4 linked regions of the Oryzias latipes genome follow. The protein of the gene in region 1 purifies or fractionates together with the protein of each later gene. This does not show direct contact. Links are inferred from orthologs where the notes say so. Each region holds a gene or a part of one and is shown on either strand. Other genes may lie near its edges.

Region 1 (4,305 bases):
TTAGTGAGATTTGTAAACAGAGTGTAAACCAAAAATAATGAAGAAGCTGCCTACCTTGAGGATAAAGTATAGCAATGAACGCGAAGCTGGTTAGGAGAAAAGAACTTGAAACTGTCCTTGGAGTAAAGTTCCGTTTGAGACAGGAAACTGCCAGTGACATGACTTGCCTTTCAAAATAAAAGCAACGATGTAGAAAACTTTTTCCAGAAGTCTAGCATGTGTTCTCTTGCAGTGACAGATAACAAGACACACCAAGATTTCCTTTTTTTTTTTTTAAATCACCAACCAATAGAGTGTTTTTACTGCAAGATGAGTTGTCATTTGTATAAGAAAGTCTGGAGTGATAGAGAAGTATGTTTGAGTTGTTCAGGACATCCATTAGAGCTGGAAGACATAAGACGTGCTGTATGTGTGACAGAAGAGTTCAAGCTGGAGGTGAGACTGCACCATCAGCTTTGAGCTCCTTCTTGTTTGCTGTGATGATGGATGGACAAACTGGCAGATAAGGAACCTCTATAGATCGTGATGTTTGCAGTTGACATCACGATCTGAGCAGAGAGCAGGTGGAGGAACATCTAGGAGATTTGTTCTGGAATGCAGAGGAATGAAGATCAGCTGCAGCAAGACAAAGTTGCTGCATTTAAATGAGAGGAATTTAAGCGGAATGTTTCAGGGAGCAGAGGTGAAAAATTGAGGACTTTAATGGCCACTTGTTGTGGTAATTAAGCCATTCATTAACATACCATGGTTTATAAACTTTACATTAATTGAATTATAAATTGTCTAGGAATACTTTTGACAGCAACAAATACAAGTTCCTTTCAAAACCAGCTGACAGTGCCACACCGTCACAAGGAGGTTCGATATTTGGTGTGGTATACGATATTTTTTTGGACAGAAAAAGCAACTAAAAGGGCTCAATCAAATTGGAATAATCTTACTTCCGGTTCATGTGTCAAAATTAAACATAGAAACAAGACTGCACATTCGTTAGAAAGTAAACATTGACGCTGCATCGTATAATAAACATAAAATTCATTAGGATATGTAGACAAGATGTTACAAGAAAAACAATCTTGAAGCCTGTAAACTGTATTTACCCCCTTATGGTCACAACTGCAGACAGTAATCAAGATTGACGTAACTACATAATTTCGCTTCCGGTAGACACGTTAAAAATAAAACTATTTTGAAACACAGCCTGACAGTGAGAAATACATAGCAAAAAAATTACGTAAATTTTATTTTAATTATAATTAAATTCATAAAACACATGTTTAATTTAACAACATAAACTCAAACGTTCTCACTAAAAGTTTTAATGAGTGCTCTTTAAAAACTCTCTTTTATTTTGAAAGTGTAACCAGGAAGTTCTTCATACGTCGGTTAGATGGTTCGCCATCAAGATCGTAACAAGCAATGCTACTCTTTGTTAAGTGAAGTGCTGTAAAATCTTGTTTTAGAACAAGATTTACGTTTTTAACAGTCAACCGTGCTTCTTTTGATGCTTTTCTATTATAGGAAAACGAGCCGGTAAAAGTTCGTCGCGGCGTTTTCTTATTTGACAGTAAGCTAGGGCTAGCGTGTTAGCTGCTCAGACAACAGCTCGTGAGGATGTCGCTTCACGGCAAAAGAAAAGAAATCTACAAGTACGAGGCGCCATGGACGGTGTACGCAATGAACTGGAGCGTTCGTCCGGATAAACGCTTTCGGCTGGCCCTCGGGAGCTTTGTGGAAGAGTATAACAACAAGGTGCGTAGCTTGTTTTATGTTTTGTTTTTTGAGTCAGCTAACCCTTCACGAACAAACGCGCTTGAATCAGTGCTATGCTAGCTCTGTACATGTTTAGAGTGGTATTGCAAAATGTTATTGCGTTTATTATCTTCGTAATAACGTCTCCATCGATGCTTAATGGTACCCCTTTTTTAATTTAATTTAATTAATTAATTAATTTATTTTTTATTAGAACGAATCGCTTTTATTTTTTTCTTGTCATCATATCTCTACTCAGGTTCAGTTGGTGGGTCTGGAAGAGGAGAGCTCCGAGTTTGTCTGCAGGAACACGTTTGATCACCCTTACCCCACCACCAAGATCATGTGGATCCCGGACACCAAAGGGGTCTACCCAGACCTGCTGGCCACCAGTGGAGACTATTTGCGCATTTGGAGGGTAGGATGTCAAACCCCGGTCACCTGCTGCGTCTGTCATGTTTTTGTTTGGGTCATCTCTTTGTAACTCGAGTACTTTTCACTTTGGGATTTTTTTTTACATCGGTGTGTTTGAAGGAACTTATACTTGTCATGCTTTACATTGCCGCATCGCTGCTTTATGTGTTAAAACTCTTTTATATTAAAGGGGATTTTCAGACCTGTAAGCATAATGTTACAATTATCAAATGAAACTTTATTTATAGGGCATTTTTCATACAACAGTGAGTGCTTTATAGACTTGAAACAATCAAAAAAATAAATAAATTATAAAATAGATTATAGAACACATTTAAACATAAAATTACATAAATACAATTCAAAATAGAGACAAAAGTGAAAGAAGTGAGGAAATTTTATTTTGAAATGAGATAGAACTGTAAGTAAGTAAAAGTAAACTAAATGTCTGGAGCATTTTTTTTTAAATAAAAAGGTGTATGTTACCTCTTTATTTTCTTTTAAAAAGCACAGCATTTGTATATATTTTTTTTAAATTTCCCTGAACTATAGCTATAATGCTGAACCACTATGACAAAGGCTCCATGTATGTAATGAAACCTGTCGTTATACTTTTTTTCCTCCCATTTCTAACTTTTGTGATGCCTCACAGTTTCTTTTAAAAGTATCATTTGGCAGGTTACATATATGCCTGTTAATTGGCTTCTAACATCAGTTTAAGTATTTTTTAAAAACACACGCAATGCTGTTTATTAGGCCTGGGCGAAAAATCGATTGAATGAATTAATTCGAATTTTTTGTTACGGGCGATTTCAAAAATAACTGAATCGAGTTTTTGTGTAATGGCGCATTTTTGGCTCCCCGGAGCTTCCGTAGCGTTAGTTTCACACGGCAATGTGGCAAGCGACAAACAACAACATCATAGCACACACGAAACAGCAAGCGACAACATGGCTTACTGCCACCGACGTGGAGGAAGAGCCCCCCCCCCCACGCTGCAACATTTGCCTAAAGCCCATCGCAGTCAAAGGCAACAGCACCACAAACCTATTCCAACACCTGGGGGAAACCTTTTATTACAGTTCTCCTTCAATCCGTAACTCCAAACATGAACGCCCCCCCCCCCAGCACGCTGTCACTCACTCTCGCGCGGCACGCGCTCATTCCTCTTACACACGCACGCAGTGCGCTGACACGCACACTCATTCTCCAACACCTATATGGTTAGTTCATTAGTTACTTCGTAGTTAGTTTTTACTGTTATTTGTTAATAAAGAATACTGCGTTGCAATTATGAATTACATTTATTTGTGTATTCATTTGCGATGCCGGATGTTGTGTTAGGCGGGGGGGTTGACCGCGACTCCTGCTGCTTCGTCAGCGCGGTGATCAAAAATCCCACACCGTGACAGCTCTAGTTTATATCTTGTGGGACACAGAAAAAATGCGACTTTTCCAGTACGGATAGCAGAACCGTTGAGGTCAGATCTTGAAGAATGTTGCTCTGGGGCTCGTTCAATACGGGGGCTCAGTACCCATCCCTAGGGGCACGGTGGAGAACAATCACTGAAGCGGTCGCTTTGCATACAGCCAAAGACATGGTACCCATATATACTGTGGAGAAAACGGGCTTTATTAATTCAATTAAAACCTTAGACCCCAGATATGAGCTGTATTGTTAATCCTTTAGAAATGGTGCTACTCTCAAGGTGTAAGTCTGACTTAAAACACAGCTGGGACTTTGATTCCCGGAGTGTGTTCATTTATTTATTATTCATCCCAGAAATGGGGGTTACATTTGTCTTGCGTTTGATTAAATAAATCAAAATTTGCTTTAAGTTTTCTGCCGTTTGTACTTATTGCTTTCCTTAGGTAGGGGGGAAAATCGGAAAAAATCAGAAATCAATTAAAAACATTTTTTTAGACCATATCGCCCAGCCCCAGTGTTTATACATGCTTATACCATGGTCTGAAAGAATACTTAATTCTGATTGGCTGCTGGGTGTGGATATATCATTTTCCTTTGCCGCTCCAGTCGAGGTCACAAGACAATTTGCAGCACAACGTAAGAAATAGTCTGCTTTTTGTGAGAACAATTATTTAAACCCAAAAAATAGCAAGAATAAAGTACTAAAAACT
Region 2 (4,484 bases), on another chromosome or scaffold:
ATTAGACCTGCAAAATAAAAGTGTAACAGAAAACAAAAGGGTTCTTTTTTATAAGTGTATTTAGTTTATGTAGTTCTATTCCTAAATCAGCTACAGACTTCAAAGTGACGAGTGCAAACAGGTTGATCAATACAAGAACAGTAAATATTAAACTCTGTTTTTCATGAAATAAATCCATTTTTCCAGAAATGTACCATAAAAAGAAAGCTTCAGCACCACTCCAACACAGGAAAGGGACATCATTCACATTTGAAAAACTAAAAATATATGACTCTGTAAACAAATCTGATGCTTTTTATGGAGGAAAAAGTGTGGAACCACTTCAAAGTGCTTCTGACCTACAGTAAGGCTACATAATCAAGGTATTTTTAGGTTTGTGTGAACAGAATCCTAATGTTTTGCTACTTTCTTTAAACAAGGCCTTTCTAGACAGAACAACTAGGACAAGCTGAATATATGCAGATCCGCTGATCTGATTTGGATTTAAAGAAATGGGTTTGACGGGTAAAAAGAGGGACCTCCCTTTTGTGTGATTGGCAAAAAGCTTATTCACTGCATTCGGAACAAAGATAAATTAAAGCTCAGGAGAATAAGTGACCATTTCTAAAGAAAAAAATCTTTGTTTATTTGTAGGAAATATTGGAACTCTGAGATGTGGAAATGGAATTGTTTAAAGATGCTGGTTATTTTGCTGGTTGTACTTCACCCAAACAGGCTGGATAGTGGTCTAGTGCGAAGTGGACTGCTGGTTGCGTCTTCTCCTATCTCCACTTCTCCAGAGTCCCTAAAGGAGGCGCTGTGGATGATCTGGGCCCGGTGGCGCCCACGATGCAGTTTGGCGTTCAGTCGGCTGAGGGACGTTTTCCTCTGCAGGGCCCCCTTGGCCTTCCCGCTCCCCGCCGGCTCTTCCGCCGCTTCAGCTGACAGGTGGAGTCGCCGCAGAGGGTTCAGGTTGCCCTGCAGCACTCTGGCCAGCTTCCAGCCTCGCCCTCCACCTCTGCTTCCGCTGCCGTTTTCGGCGTCCGACTCGGCGGTCGGTGAGGTGACCACTCCTTCCTGCTGCAGGTCAGCAGCCAGCGGTGGGGGCAAGTACTGGATGGCTCGCCTCCCGCTGTAATCCCGAGCTTCGGGGTCTGCCTCCCAGTCTGACAGCAGCAGCCGAACCACCTGCCAACCACAGTGAAGGGCATTTGCTCTTCTATAAATGCCGGCTATACATCAGCAAATTATAAAAGAATGAAAAACAATTCTCTTTTTGTAAATTTAATATGTTATTTTTAAAGAAATGTGGGTTATTTGAGATCAAATTGAGTGTCTCCTACTCCCTGCAACCCACCTGTGTGTGACCATGCATGGCAGCCAGGTGCAGCGGTGTGTATCCAGCACTAGATCTCACGTTCACATTCAAAGGTACGGTGTTCTTCTTGGCGAAGCCCAGCAGCTGGGACAGCAGCTCGGCTTTGCCCTGCTTCGCCGCCCAGTGGAGGCAGGTGAAGCCCGTAACAAAGTCCCTTTTGGCCACCAGGCTGGGCTCCACGGCCAACAGCGGCTGTAGACTCTCCCACATGCCGTCTGAGGCGCAAAGCATCCACTCGTGCTCTAGTGGGTCCAAAGTCACCAAGGCACAGTCCTCATCGGTGGCTGAGGAGAGGAGGGACGCCGAGTCACCTTCGCTCCTCAGGGAGTCTCGGACACGGGGCCCACGGTTGATCAGCGACCTGCGAACCTGTGAGAGCTAAGTTCTTGACATTTGTTGGCACTTTTATATGCAAATATAGAAAATCAATGAAAAAAAAAACTCCAACCTGAGGAGAAGTACTCATCATCAGCTCTATAAAGTTCCTGCGGCTGCCCTTGGGTGTGTGAATATCCCCAATGGACTCCAGTCCCTCCAGTGCGCTGTCTTCAGACAAGCAGCTGGTTAGGATGGCTCTTTGGGATCCCTTGGAAACCCTGCGAGCCCCTCGCACCTGCTGGCAGTGTGGCCCAGCAGGGTGGCCCTGGTCCAGATCTTGCACAGCAATGACTGGGGCCGACTCTCGCCTCCTCCTGTCCCTCAGCCTCACCTCCCCTCCACCTGTAGATGTAGCAGGCGTCCTTGCGTTGATTCTACACTGAGACCTGGCCCCATTCTCGTTGTCGTTTGACTGTTTGTTATTGTCCAAGCTGGCAAGTGGTGCCTCTGTAGAGGAATAAAACGGGGTTTCCACTTCAACAGAGTTTATGTGTAGTGATGTTTTAAAAGATGCACACAGTAATTTTTCTGCATAGATAATATCCATATCTGCTGAAATAATTCTGTTATTTTTCAAAATAAAACTGTTGTGAAAATATGTAAAGTTAAAACATAAAATAAAATAAATACAATTATGCTTCAAAACAGCGTTTTACCACTTGCGACAAAACATAAAAACTTAAATGTAAACAATTGAAAAAAAAATCCAGCAAAGGGAAAAATTAACATCCTCTCCCCTCACCTGTTTGGACTCCATTTTCAGGATTGCCGTTCACATGTTTGTTGTCCAGCGCCTCTTGGATGTTGCCGTTGCACTCCGCTTGGTGGTCCGGGCCGCCCGAGTCCGAACGCATCGCGTTCAGACACACATATTTCACCCCGTTCTCCACCTTCACCAAACACAGGCTGTCGACGATGCGCCGCAGCCCTTCGTCTGACTGGTCATGACACCCACGGAGAGATAAGAAATGATCCATCAGCTCCATCTGTTGGACCCTCCCTCCTCTTTCCGACAGAAACCCCTGCACGGCTTCCTCCGTGATCTGGGATGCCATCGCCCTCCTCTTCCTCCTTTAATGACTGGAAAGAGTCGCAGGCTCAGCTACTCATTAACTTCCCAGGATACATTCATGGTACTGCTCATCCACTTGGTTCGGTGGCAGCAAAGAATCGCATCCTCTCCGGCCTCCTCCTTCCTCCATTGGAAAACCTGTGGCGGGCATTGAACGATAGGGGTCGCGCTTGAGCTGTTCTTTCTTTTTTTTTTTTTGAAGAATCTCGTAAACTGCAAAGAGTTGCATTTAGGGACTCCTCGTAATCACGAGTGTCCAAACCTCTAAATAAAAAATAGCGCCGTAAATCCACGTAATACAGCTGCATGTGCTGGTGGACACTAACATCGCCGTTTGAACATCTTAAAAATAGCAAATTGTTGATTACTCCCGGAAGAACAAATTACTGTAATGCGTTAAAACATGTTTGGATTTGAGGACATACGTTTTTACTTCCAGATTTAAACAAATCAATTGATTTTTGTTTTCAGTTGTTAACACGTTTGAGGTCTCGTGGTACACTTTTAAATTAAAATGTCAGAAACAAAATTCACAATGAATCGTTCCTTGAAAAGTTACCAAATTTCTGTTCCGTTCGAAAACATAACTATAAAATTGGGAGTGACTGGGAAGATTCACATGGGCTATACCATTGCACAAAAGGGACAAATTTATAGCATAGCATAACATGTTGCTGTATTTAGTTAAATTTTTTATAAAGTCTTAAGATGAAAAACGTGTTTAAAAGTTTAAATATTCCTATAACCTCTATTTATGACATTTATGGAACTACGTGTTTTAAAACGGTTTGCCAAACCAAACGTTTACCCTCATTTCTACATTGTTGTGATTGGTATCGTCTTTTCATTCGTCGAGTGCAGACTCAACGGCGCTCTTTCTGGATTTCATAGGACATCATCTCGGATTTTTTCCCCCAGTTTTAATTAATAATAGTTGTCCTAATTGACGCCTTTAAGTTTAGTCTGAAACCATGGCTTCTTCTGATGTTGCTCGGCAGCCGGTAAGTTTTGTTTTTTGTGTGGTTTTCCAGTGACTGTTCCTGACAGCTGAGCAGGGAGTGTCCGAAGCTAACACATGCAGTCACATCCAGCTAGCCTTACTTCATAAAAGTTTTTCAAACTTGGTAGTTAAAACTATAAAATAGTGCTAACGCTTTTAGTAACTAAAGGGCATACTCGCAGAGCACTTTTTATGTTTGTTATTGTATTTTACGTGAATTTTTTCTTAGAATCTGTGTTGCGTGTTTTATGAAAGCAAGATTGTCCGAGTGGGGTTAGCATAACTTTCTGCAAGAAGCTTTGTTTGTGTAAATCAAACTATTTGTCTCATAATTGCTTGTGTGTTTGCACATTTGAACGTTAAATGATCCATTTTTGCAAAGTCATGTCATGCTAGTTTTATGCTGGTTTTAAGGTAAGAAATCAAACACTTACAAGTAATCAAACGAAAACAACAACAACAAAGTTTGTCATAAAAATCACTGACAGCTCAGATATTTGTCCCCTGATATTTGGAGTGTTGTTTTTCCTTCAGCTGGGTTGGTACTGATCATAGAAAAATAAAGCAACATCCCCCTAACAACGGACCTAATGCTTGCACTTGGCATTTCACAGGATAAAGGAGCAAGACCCCTGTCTCTAGCCGGCCATGTGGGCTTTGACAGCCTTCCGGACCAG
Region 3 (4,518 bases), on another chromosome or scaffold:
TGGGGAGGGGGGATGCTCAGAACTCCTGGGTGGTGATGGGATGCTTGTCTGGGGCTGGGGGTGCTCTACTTGGGCCCCTGTGGCAGTTGTGCTGGGTAGCGGATGTGATCACCCAGCGGATGGCTTTTCTCTATCTGCCACTGTGCGGGTGTTGGGGGGATCTGGCTGCCGCTGCTGCTGCAGCAGGGTCTTGGTACGGGGATGATGGGCCCTCTCCCTCCTTCTTTTTACATTCCATCATCCACCTCAGAATAACATAAACACTCACTTGAGCACAGGTGTTAGCTCACCTTTGCACTAATATTTAGCATGACTAAATGCATGCAAACTCTTAGCCTGAATGCATTTGTATGCGTGTGTGAACATCAGTTGTGTTATGCCCATGTTTACCTGTTTATATGTGAACATTATTGGAGCCAAAAGGTATGTTTGTAACATTTGAGTGTGTGTGTGGACAGCCCCTTCCCTTTTAGATTTATTATACATCAAAACTTCCAGCAAGTTTTGATGTTTAATTATTCCCCCCCCCCACTCTAACATTCATCTTTCTTCCCTCATTTGTTTTTCTTTCAAATCCAACAAAAAAAAATGTTACAAATATATGTTTAATATGAATATAGTTTAGTATAAATTACAAAAGGGGTTAATTCAAATATATACCATGTGTGTCAGAAGATTCATAACCCCATGTTGCAAAAAAAAATATGTCCAACACAAGAGGGCTTCAGCTCTCATCTGTTTCCTCAGTTGTTGGACAGGAGAAGTTAATAAAAAAAAGAAGGAAAAGAACTCCAAGAAGCAGGAGATGTGGACAATATTAGATACAGCTAATAATTGACAATTAGACTTCACTCAAACCACTTTTTGAACTTTGAAAGTCTAATTTAGTGTTTAACATGCATACATGTATCATTTCAGTTTGTTTAGAAAAATAATTAGTTAAAGAAAACATTGTTGCATTTGGTAACAAGAATAACTTTTATTGTCAACTAAAAGACAGAACAAATGTGCAAAAGAATAATATTTATTTTTGCTCATTTTACCTTTAGAAGTGTAAAACACTTTTATTTTGATTGCTGTTTCCAAAAAACAAATTTATCAATATGGCAAAAATATTTTTTGTGAGCAGAGGTGCATTAGCTTCAGAGAATCATTTGTCAGAGGTGACAGATGGTCAAAAAGACATTTTCATTATGGGAATCAATGTATCTAATGTATCTTAAAATTTAAAGAACAAAAGCAAATACATCAAGGAAAAACTAATTTTAAAAAAGCATAATGTAAGAAACTTGTTTTAGTTTTTTGCAAAAGTGTGTTTCGTCAGTAGGGGGCGCAAACCTTCAAGCCAGTTCTTTCAATCGAAAGCATTCTGGGAAATGTAGTTATAAATATCAGTTTAAAAAAGTGTATACTTTTCTAAGTCGTTCTTCTTGTTTCGATACGACATATGTCACATTTCAAAACTTAAAGTAGATAAGGTTGTTTTGTGTAAAACTATATTCTTTACTTTTTTTAACACGTTTTAATTCTCGAACCTTCCGTCATTTTGCCGGTTTACCCATAATGCACCCGGGTTGATTCTTTCTTCTCGGTGTGGTGCTCCAAAATGTCGCTTTTGGAAGGTCCGCTAAATGTCTTCGGCCAGAGAAGCACTGGGGAATCTGTTCGCACTCAAAATGGTGAACTGCTATTCATTTCATTTTGTAATTTTGTTTTATTTACAGTATTTATAGACTGCAGAGCGGTACTTGTGTCAATGAGGTTTCCGCATGTAGCACACACGTGCAGTCATGCTAGTGCTAGTTATCGTTACGACGATGTGTTAACTAGCTCGCATTGCTTTTAACCAGCACGGATGCGCGTTCTTTCCACAGAATTATAGCAATATCCATACTTTTATTTGGATATATGAATATACGGCTAAGTTTTGCGATTTAGCTTTAACGGATTAGCGGTTTAGCTCATGAGCCTCATCTCATGATGTAGTAGGAAGGTGTGGTCCGTTATTTGCCTGTTGCTATATAAAATATTACGTGCATCTCAAAAAACGAGAGTTTGTTGTTTTCAATTTGTAGTTAGCTGTTTCAAAGCGCACTTGATGACTTTATACTTCCGTGTTGTTGCAGTCATGGCCGCAGCTTCCATCGCGAACATCGTCAAGAGTTCTCTCGGACCCTACGGCCTCGACAAGATGCTGGTGGACGACATTGGGGTTTGTCTCGTGATTAAGTAAAACCAACAAACAATTCTGCGTCCTGTATTTGATTATATGGTTCCCATCCTGAAATTGACAGGACGTGACCATCACCAACGACGGAGCAACCATCCTGAAGATGCTGGAGGTAGAACATCCTGCTGCCAAAGTCCTGTGCGAGCTTGCTGACCTCCAGGACAAGGAGGTTGGAGATGGAACTACATCTGTTGTAAGTCTTGGCTGACAGCTCCTCTCAAATCCACCGAAAGAGGAAGTGTTGGGGATTTTAGTTCTCTTTCCGTGTGTTGAATCTTAGAACAAAATCCTGTTCTAGTACCATGCATCTGCTTTTATTACGGATGTGTGGCTATGCTAACAGGATAGAGAAACTATCCCTCAGTGTCTGAAGGGGTTCTGCAGCCTCATTTCTGCCACTCCTAATGAAACGATGGTACAAAATTTAAATGTGTAAATTGTTAAAATGTCATTTTGATCACTGTAATACTTTCTGGCAGGTGATTCTCGCTGCAGAGCTACTGAAAAGTGCAGACGAGCTGGTAAAGCAGAAGATTCATCCAACCTCAGTCATCAATGGATACCGCCTGGCTTGCAAGTGAGATGGGTTAATAATAACTAGGGATGTCCTGATCACTGTTTTTATTTTTCTCTTTTTTTTTTTTTTTTTTTTAGTTTTGCCCGATTTGATTGCGAATCATTACATTTTGTGTCCCAATCCAATGCTTAAACGATCTTAGACAATGAGGTAATTTGACCAATCAAGCAAAGATAGTGCTACTATCAACAAGAAAAAAATGTTAACTATTGACTAGTAAAAATGGATGATTAGTCATGTGAGAAAGTTTGACTGTTGCTTTAGTGTCTTCAGAATTATTTAACTTTTTTGATCAGATGTGATTCATATCTCTTCAATATTCTTTAAAAAAAAAGGTTAAATAGTTGTTGTAGCATAAATATGATTCATGACTAGTTATTCAACCATTTAATAGTTTCGGTTGTTTTTGGGACATGGATTTTTTTTTCTTTTCCCTTTGCTGGAAAAACTCAACTGAGTTTTTCACTTAGCAGATGGTCTCTTGGTCTCACTGCTGTCTCTGTCAGCACCACGGATAGAGCCATTTTCATTAAAGGAAACCAAAACACAACCTTTTTCTTTTGAAATGCCGTTGTAGGTCATTGTTCGAGTTAAGACAAAACGCAAAAGACATTTGTGTTTTAAAAGGTTATTAAAAGAATTTTTTAGCCTAGAAGTCTGAATCTTTAAATATCTTGCTAACTTTCCTGAACTGTTTTTGCTCAAACAAGTGCCGTATTCTGCTGCGCTTTACAGCAATATAATGTCGTAGTCTGTTCATGATTTAAAGACTTCTAGTATAGTATTTATTTGTAATAGTAAGCTTGAAACATATAACTCTGATGTTAAAGACAAAATAAACATCTGATCCAGATTAAGGCTCAAATTACAGTGGCGTGATCAGATTGGGACATCCCTAACAGTAACCGTTGTGAAAGATGAATTCTAAGTCTAACAAAACCTCTGAGTCATTTTTTTTCTTTCCTGTAGAGAGGCAGTGCGCTACATAAATGAGAACCTCACCATTGGGACTGATGATCTGGGAAGAGAATGCCTGATCAACGCAGCCAAGACCTCCATGTCTTCAAAAATCATAAAAGTGTATCCTGACCGACAATGTGTCAAATCTTCCTGGAAAATTACGTCGTCTCAGTCAAGTGTTTGTGCTTGTGCTAAAAGTGAATACTGAGCGCTTGTTTACCTTGACTTCAGTCTTCAGTGATTCAGACTTCTTTGCAAACATGGTGGTTGATGCTGCCCTGGCTGTGAAGTTTGTGGACAGCAAAGGAGTGGCCAAATACCCGATCAACTCTGTCAATGTGCTGAAAGCTCACGGTCGCAGCCAGGAGGAGAGTTTTTTGGTTAACGGATACGCCCTGAACTGCACAGTTGGTTCACAAGGTGTGTTTTTCAATGTTTTTCAAAAAGCTGTTAGTTTGAAATGTGTGGACTTTCACACGTTTTTTTTTTCCATACCTTTCTGTAAAGTTACTGTTGTTTAAAGTCCCATTTTTTTTTGCTGCTATACCTTGCTCGGTGGTATACGCAGTGATACGCGTGGGAAATAGTAAACTGGTTGAAGAGAAGTCTAGTGGCAGTGATATTTAAACTCTGGCACTTCTTTTGGCCAAACAGGATTTACTTTTTTGTCTTTTTGGAGCACTATTCTGTAATGTCTTCAGACACCTTCAGCTAAAGACGAGCTGGTTTCTCTGCAGGAATGGTGAAACGT
Region 4 (4,441 bases), on another chromosome or scaffold:
AGGGAACAATTCATTTTTTGATGTCATATCCAGGGCTCTAAAAAAAACAATAACGTGAAAGAAGACAGGTTATTCTGTCTTCTTTCAGAATTACCTGAACAAAGCAACAAACAGAATTAGCTTCATCCACCAACCTTTTTGTTGAGAGAAGCAGGGAATGAGCGAACGCTTAAATAGGACTCAGCAGCCTTCTTGTCAATGTACTGCAGACTGTCGCCATCAGCATACATGATGAGTCGGGTGAAATCGTTGAATAGAACACCAACACTGTTGTCACAAAGCTGGTATCCTGCGAAAGCAATTTACAGCACACCCTTAATTCTCCATTAAAAGCAAGACAATAAAAGGCAAACCTGTCCTAAGATTTAGAATTTACCTAATCCATATTTGTCAGAGTAGTCGACCCATTTACTGATCCAAAAGATGGGAATACACGCAGGATCCTCTGCTTCCTCTGAAATCAAAGACAAGGGGTTTTCTGTAAGAAGGACTGACTAAAACTGCAGAAAGTTTAGGTAGTTCCTGCAGGCGGCTGCTCTCACCTTGCCGAATGACCGCCTTCTCTGAAGGCTTGGCAGAGATGATGCTGTTGAGCTGCTGCAGCATGTCCTTCAGGTAACATTCTTCTGGCTCCGCCTCTCTGCACACAAAATTCCCATTTATCATTTTTGATCAAACTACGACGCATGTTTTAGACCTTAGTGTGATGTCTCACAGTGGAGCAGGCTCGTCTTTCATGTCCACCTTCTCTGTGCCGGCTGAGAAAAAAAATATATAAAAAAAACCTCCATCAATATCACTGTTGATTAACTGCAGACTTTCATTATCAGTGCACCAGTTTTGGGCAATTGTTGGGTTTGTTACCTTTGTTGTTTATGGCAGTCAGGGGGCGCCTCTGGCTGAGCTCTGCAGCCATGGAGGGGGCAATGGAGAACCGCGGGGGCACAGTGAGACAAGTGGTGGGCAGCCGCAGGGGGACGTATCCCGATGTGAAGAACTCATCCGTCTGCAGGTCAGTGATGGTGGGCCTCTGGGCAGGATCGGCATGCAGCATCCTCTTGATGAGAGCCGAGGCTGACGGGTTGATTTGCTGCAGCATTCAAGTGAAGTGACGGTAAACTTAAGATTTTCTTTCACCAACTATTACGTACATTTAGGGATTAACGTCAGCTCTTCTCACCCAGGGGATGGTGTAATTGTTCTTCTTGATCCGGTTGTATGTGTCTTTCAGGCATGAGGTTTCAAACGGAGGCTTGCCGACTAACAAAGTGTACCTATGAGAGGATACAGGAAGGAAGTTGAGTATCCAGAATCCTGTGGAATGACACTCTTCCCCACTCCACTGTGGGTTTACACACTTACAATATGCACCCAAGTGACCAGACATCCACTTCATAGCTGTGGCCTTTCTTGCACAGCACTTCCGGAGCGATATAGTTGGGCGTTCCACACAAGGTCTTCTTCCGTTCACCATCAAACTCAATCTTTGTGGCCAAACCAAAGTCACCTAGCAAAAAAGGAAAGAAAGAAATGATCAGCGTTTAATCTGAGTAAAGGATATTAAGAAGCCAAATATGGGTGTTAACAAATTGGAGCTGGAAGTTCTCAACAAGGAAGTTATGGGAGCATATCAAGAACATGGGTGTGCCCGTTTCTTTGTCACTACACCGACAGGTTTCCTGCTCTCCATACCTATCTTGACTTCCATGTCGTCGTTGAGGAAGATGTTCCCCAGTTTCAGGTCTCTGTGGATGACCTTGTTGCTGTGCAGATAATGGACCCCTTTCAGCAGCTGGGTCATGTAGTAGCGAGCCTCCGGCTCCGTGACCGCCTTCCTGCGCTTGTGCAACTCCAACAGGGACTTGAAAAAGGACAACAGTTCTGGTGAGCGGCTGAACTCAGTGGAGGAAAATGGAGGCTGGGAGAGCATGAACAAGCTGGATGAAGTGAAGTGGCACCTCAAGAAGTGTTAAAAACAACACGTGGAACAACACAAAGGGGAAAAAGAATTTAGATATCTCTATAGTTTTAAATTACAAAAAGTTACTGGTTTAGGATAAGTAACAGTGATTTAAAGCAGTGATCAGGGGATTTGAGTCTCCCAGCACTATGCCAAAGGAGGGGGGGGGGGGGGGGTAACGGAAGAGGCCACATTGTTAACCGTTGGCCTTCATGTATTTTCATTTAGAGTTCCCAAAATCCTCACCCTTCTCCTGCAGATCTCCAGGACCACATAGACAAAGTCGTCGTCCTCAAAGAAGCCGTGGAAGCCCACGATGTTAGCATGATTGAGGCTCTTGTGAATGGAGATTTCCGAGCTCATCTTCTCCCTTTGGTGCTGCTTCAGGATCAACGACTTGGGCACTATTTTGCCAGCGAAAACCTGCTTGGTCTCCATGTCTGTAATTTCGAAGCATTTGGCGAAGCCCCCCTTGCCGAGGAACCTGCCCTTGGAGTATCTCCTCAGGGTGCGGGGATCCACCAAAACCTCTGGGATTTCTTTCAGAGGAGCCGATTTTGGGTCGACGTGTCCGGACGGCTGCGCCGGCTTTGCGATAGCAGCACTCATGGTGTACTTTAAAAGTGCTCTTTCCGCGTTAATAAAACTCCAAAGAAGTCGAAACGCAAAAGTTATTAAACAAGGGCTAAAGTGTTGTTTAACCCTCCAACTCAACCGACGTTAGTTTAGCCTTCGAAGCTAACTTTTTCTACGCCTCAATTTACAGCAAATACTAACAAACGATCTAAACCGCAAACGTTGACTAACATTTAAAGGCCGACAGGTCCCAAGATTAAATAAATTAATTAAAAAAAAAACCGGAGGCAGAATTCTTGCGCAGACTTCCCCGGCAGCGGTTGCCTTGTCCCGTTCTGCCTTTTCGATAACAAGTGTCTCGTACAAATTTAAAATGCTGGCTCGGTCGTTTTGGCGATCGTTGATTGGTCTGCTAGATTTGAATTCCACAGCGTCACAGCAAAGCATCTTGGGAACATGTGTACAAAAATAGCCAATCAGGAGTAGAGTAGAAGGCCTCCAACAATCTGATTGGCTGAAAGGCTGTTTTTGTTTCCTCGAGAAAGACGGATGGGAAATGTAGTCGGGAAAAGGATTTAATTTCGAAAGTGTTTTGTTATTAGCGTTATCCGAATTATGGCCACTCCTGATCCAATATCGATCATTTAGGTTCATGTTATTAGTTGAACACTAATATTACATGAATGCAGAGGATCATATGAAGTTTATTTAATCTTTGTTAGACTATGAGTTTTTTATGAATTTGTCATTTTCACTTTTTGGATGGATTTTTATTGACAGACATTGTTGGTTCAGGTTATACACTTTTATTTTTATTGATTGCCATGCTGACTGTGTACACTCATCTTGCGCCACACTTCCTTGAAAAACTTTCAACTTTTCATAAATTGAGAAACATGTGAGTGTTTGCTTTCTTCTCATGTTTTCTTTTAATTTCTACTCTGTTAGAACAACCATTAAATACTGTTTCAAACCAAATTCTCAGACAGTGCTATCGGCATTCTAAGTGTATCATTGTAATCATTGAAAAGCCACAAATGCCCTCTGTAGATACCAAAAGGAGTTCATTCAGTAATTGCAGTGGTTGAATAATTTTCAGGTCTAGAAATGTCCACTATGGGGACAAGTTTTTATTGCCGGTAGTGAGGAGGATATTTTTCACTCTAGATTGGTTGAAATTCAAAAAGGATTTTGAGCAAAAAAGCCTCAGGGTTTAACTTGAAAGATTATTTATGCTGGAAAGCATAAAATGGTGAGAAGCAGTAAAATATAGTGTAACAAAAGCAATATGAGAAAGTAAACCTGCAGTAATGGTTTAATCTGTCTTGCCACACTAAAAAAAAGTCACATCGTTTTTGTGATACCAAGATTATTGTTTATTTGACAAGATGTTAACATGATGAAATTAAGGACTTTCACTTTCTGATCATGATGGTTAACCTGTTGATGCCTATACTTAAATAATAACTCCAGAATACATGAAGATTCCCAATTTTTTACATTTGGATATTGACTGTACTGTTTGGTTTCAACATGCCAAGCTAAAAAAAAAAAAAAAAGTTGTTTTTCCCCTAAGGTTTTCATTTCTTTTTTTCTTTATCCACCACTGCATGGTAGTTGGGGTAACCAGTTAATAGATTGCTGGTTGCTGGCTGATCAACATTTTGTGGTAAATTAATTTGGGTTAAGAGTGTAAAGGGGGAATGGTTATGGGACACTAACTCAAAACACAGCTTGTTGAGGGGATGCTTACCTGAAGACTGCGGGGACTTGCTTGCACCGGTGCATCCTAAGGCTACAAACACACCGTTTATAAACCATCAGAGGTTGTAAAGGAATACAGTTCAGTAGTTTGGAGGTAGCATTACTTATTCAAGAGCCACATGTTTTTATTTGAGCTCTGCC

Evidence for each region. The genes of interacting proteins can lie anywhere in the genome.
Region 2: the proteins of dcaf7 (region 1) and sowahc purify together in Homo sapiens (affinity purification with mass spectrometry; 4 studies listed by BioGRID and IntAct, counting the BioPlex papers as one, with this or other methods). This does not show direct contact. The link is inferred for Oryzias latipes from reciprocal best matches to the Homo sapiens genes DCAF7 and SOWAHC.
Region 3: the proteins of dcaf7 (region 1) and tcp1 purify together in Homo sapiens (affinity purification with mass spectrometry; 3 studies listed by BioGRID and IntAct, counting the BioPlex papers as one, with this or other methods). This does not show direct contact. The link is inferred for Oryzias latipes from reciprocal best matches to the Homo sapiens genes DCAF7 and TCP1.
Region 4: the proteins of dcaf7 (region 1) and plk1 purify together in Homo sapiens (affinity purification with mass spectrometry; 3 studies listed by BioGRID and IntAct, with this or other methods). This does not show direct contact. The link is inferred for Oryzias latipes from reciprocal best matches to the Homo sapiens genes DCAF7 and PLK1.

The regions. Positions count from the first base shown.
Region 1 is NC_019866.2:4,065,115-4,069,419, forward strand, and holds the start of dcaf7 (DDB1- and CUL4-associated factor 7), read left to right. Parts: upstream 1-1,366; 5' UTR 1,367-1,614; coding exon 1,615-1,752; intron 1,753-2,011; coding exon 2,012-2,170; intron 2,171-4,305. UniProt on the Homo sapiens protein: Involved in craniofacial development. Acts upstream of the EDN1 pathway and is required for formation of the upper jaw equivalent, the palatoquadrate. The activity required for EDN1 pathway function differs between the first and second arches.
Region 2 is NC_019879.2:18,178,556-18,183,039, reverse strand, and holds the start of sowahc (ankyrin repeat domain-containing protein SOWAHC), read right to left. Parts: upstream 2,972-4,484; 5' UTR 2,791-2,971; coding exon 2,478-2,790; intron 2,183-2,477; coding exon 1,806-2,182; intron 1,727-1,805; coding exon 1,337-1,726; intron 1,168-1,336; coding exon 703-1,167; 3' UTR 1-702. Other genes in the region: sept10 (septin-10), read left to right, coding at 3,779-3,808, 4,422-4,484.
Region 3 is NC_019882.2:7,310,906-7,315,423, forward strand, and holds the start of tcp1 (T-complex protein 1 subunit alpha), read left to right. Parts: upstream 1-1,547; 5' UTR 1,548-1,606; coding exon 1,607-1,679; intron 1,680-2,126; coding exon 2,127-2,212; intron 2,213-2,294; coding exon 2,295-2,423; intron 2,424-2,709; coding exon 2,710-2,807; intron 2,808-3,776; coding exon 3,777-3,887; intron 3,888-4,005; coding exon 4,006-4,187; intron 4,188-4,504; coding exon 4,505-4,518. UniProt on the Homo sapiens protein: Component of the chaperonin-containing T-complex (TRiC), a molecular chaperone complex that assists the folding of actin, tubulin and other proteins upon ATP hydrolysis.
Region 4 is NC_019859.2:22,726,197-22,730,637, forward strand, and holds the start of plk1 (serine/threonine-protein kinase PLK1), read right to left. Parts: upstream 2,972-4,441; 5' UTR 2,570-2,971; coding exon 2,207-2,569; intron 1,862-2,206; coding exon 1,693-1,861; intron 1,508-1,692; coding exon 1,363-1,507; intron 1,275-1,362; coding exon 1,181-1,274; intron 1,091-1,180; coding exon 865-1,090; intron 759-864; coding exon 716-758; intron 641-715; coding exon 543-640; intron 455-542; coding exon 377-454; intron 290-376; coding exon 135-289; intron 1-134. UniProt on the Homo sapiens protein: Serine/threonine-protein kinase that performs several important functions throughout M phase of the cell cycle, including the regulation of centrosome maturation and spindle assembly, the removal of cohesins from chromosome arms, the inactivation of anaphase-promoting complex/cyclosome (APC/C) inhibitors, and the regulation of mitotic exit and cytokinesis.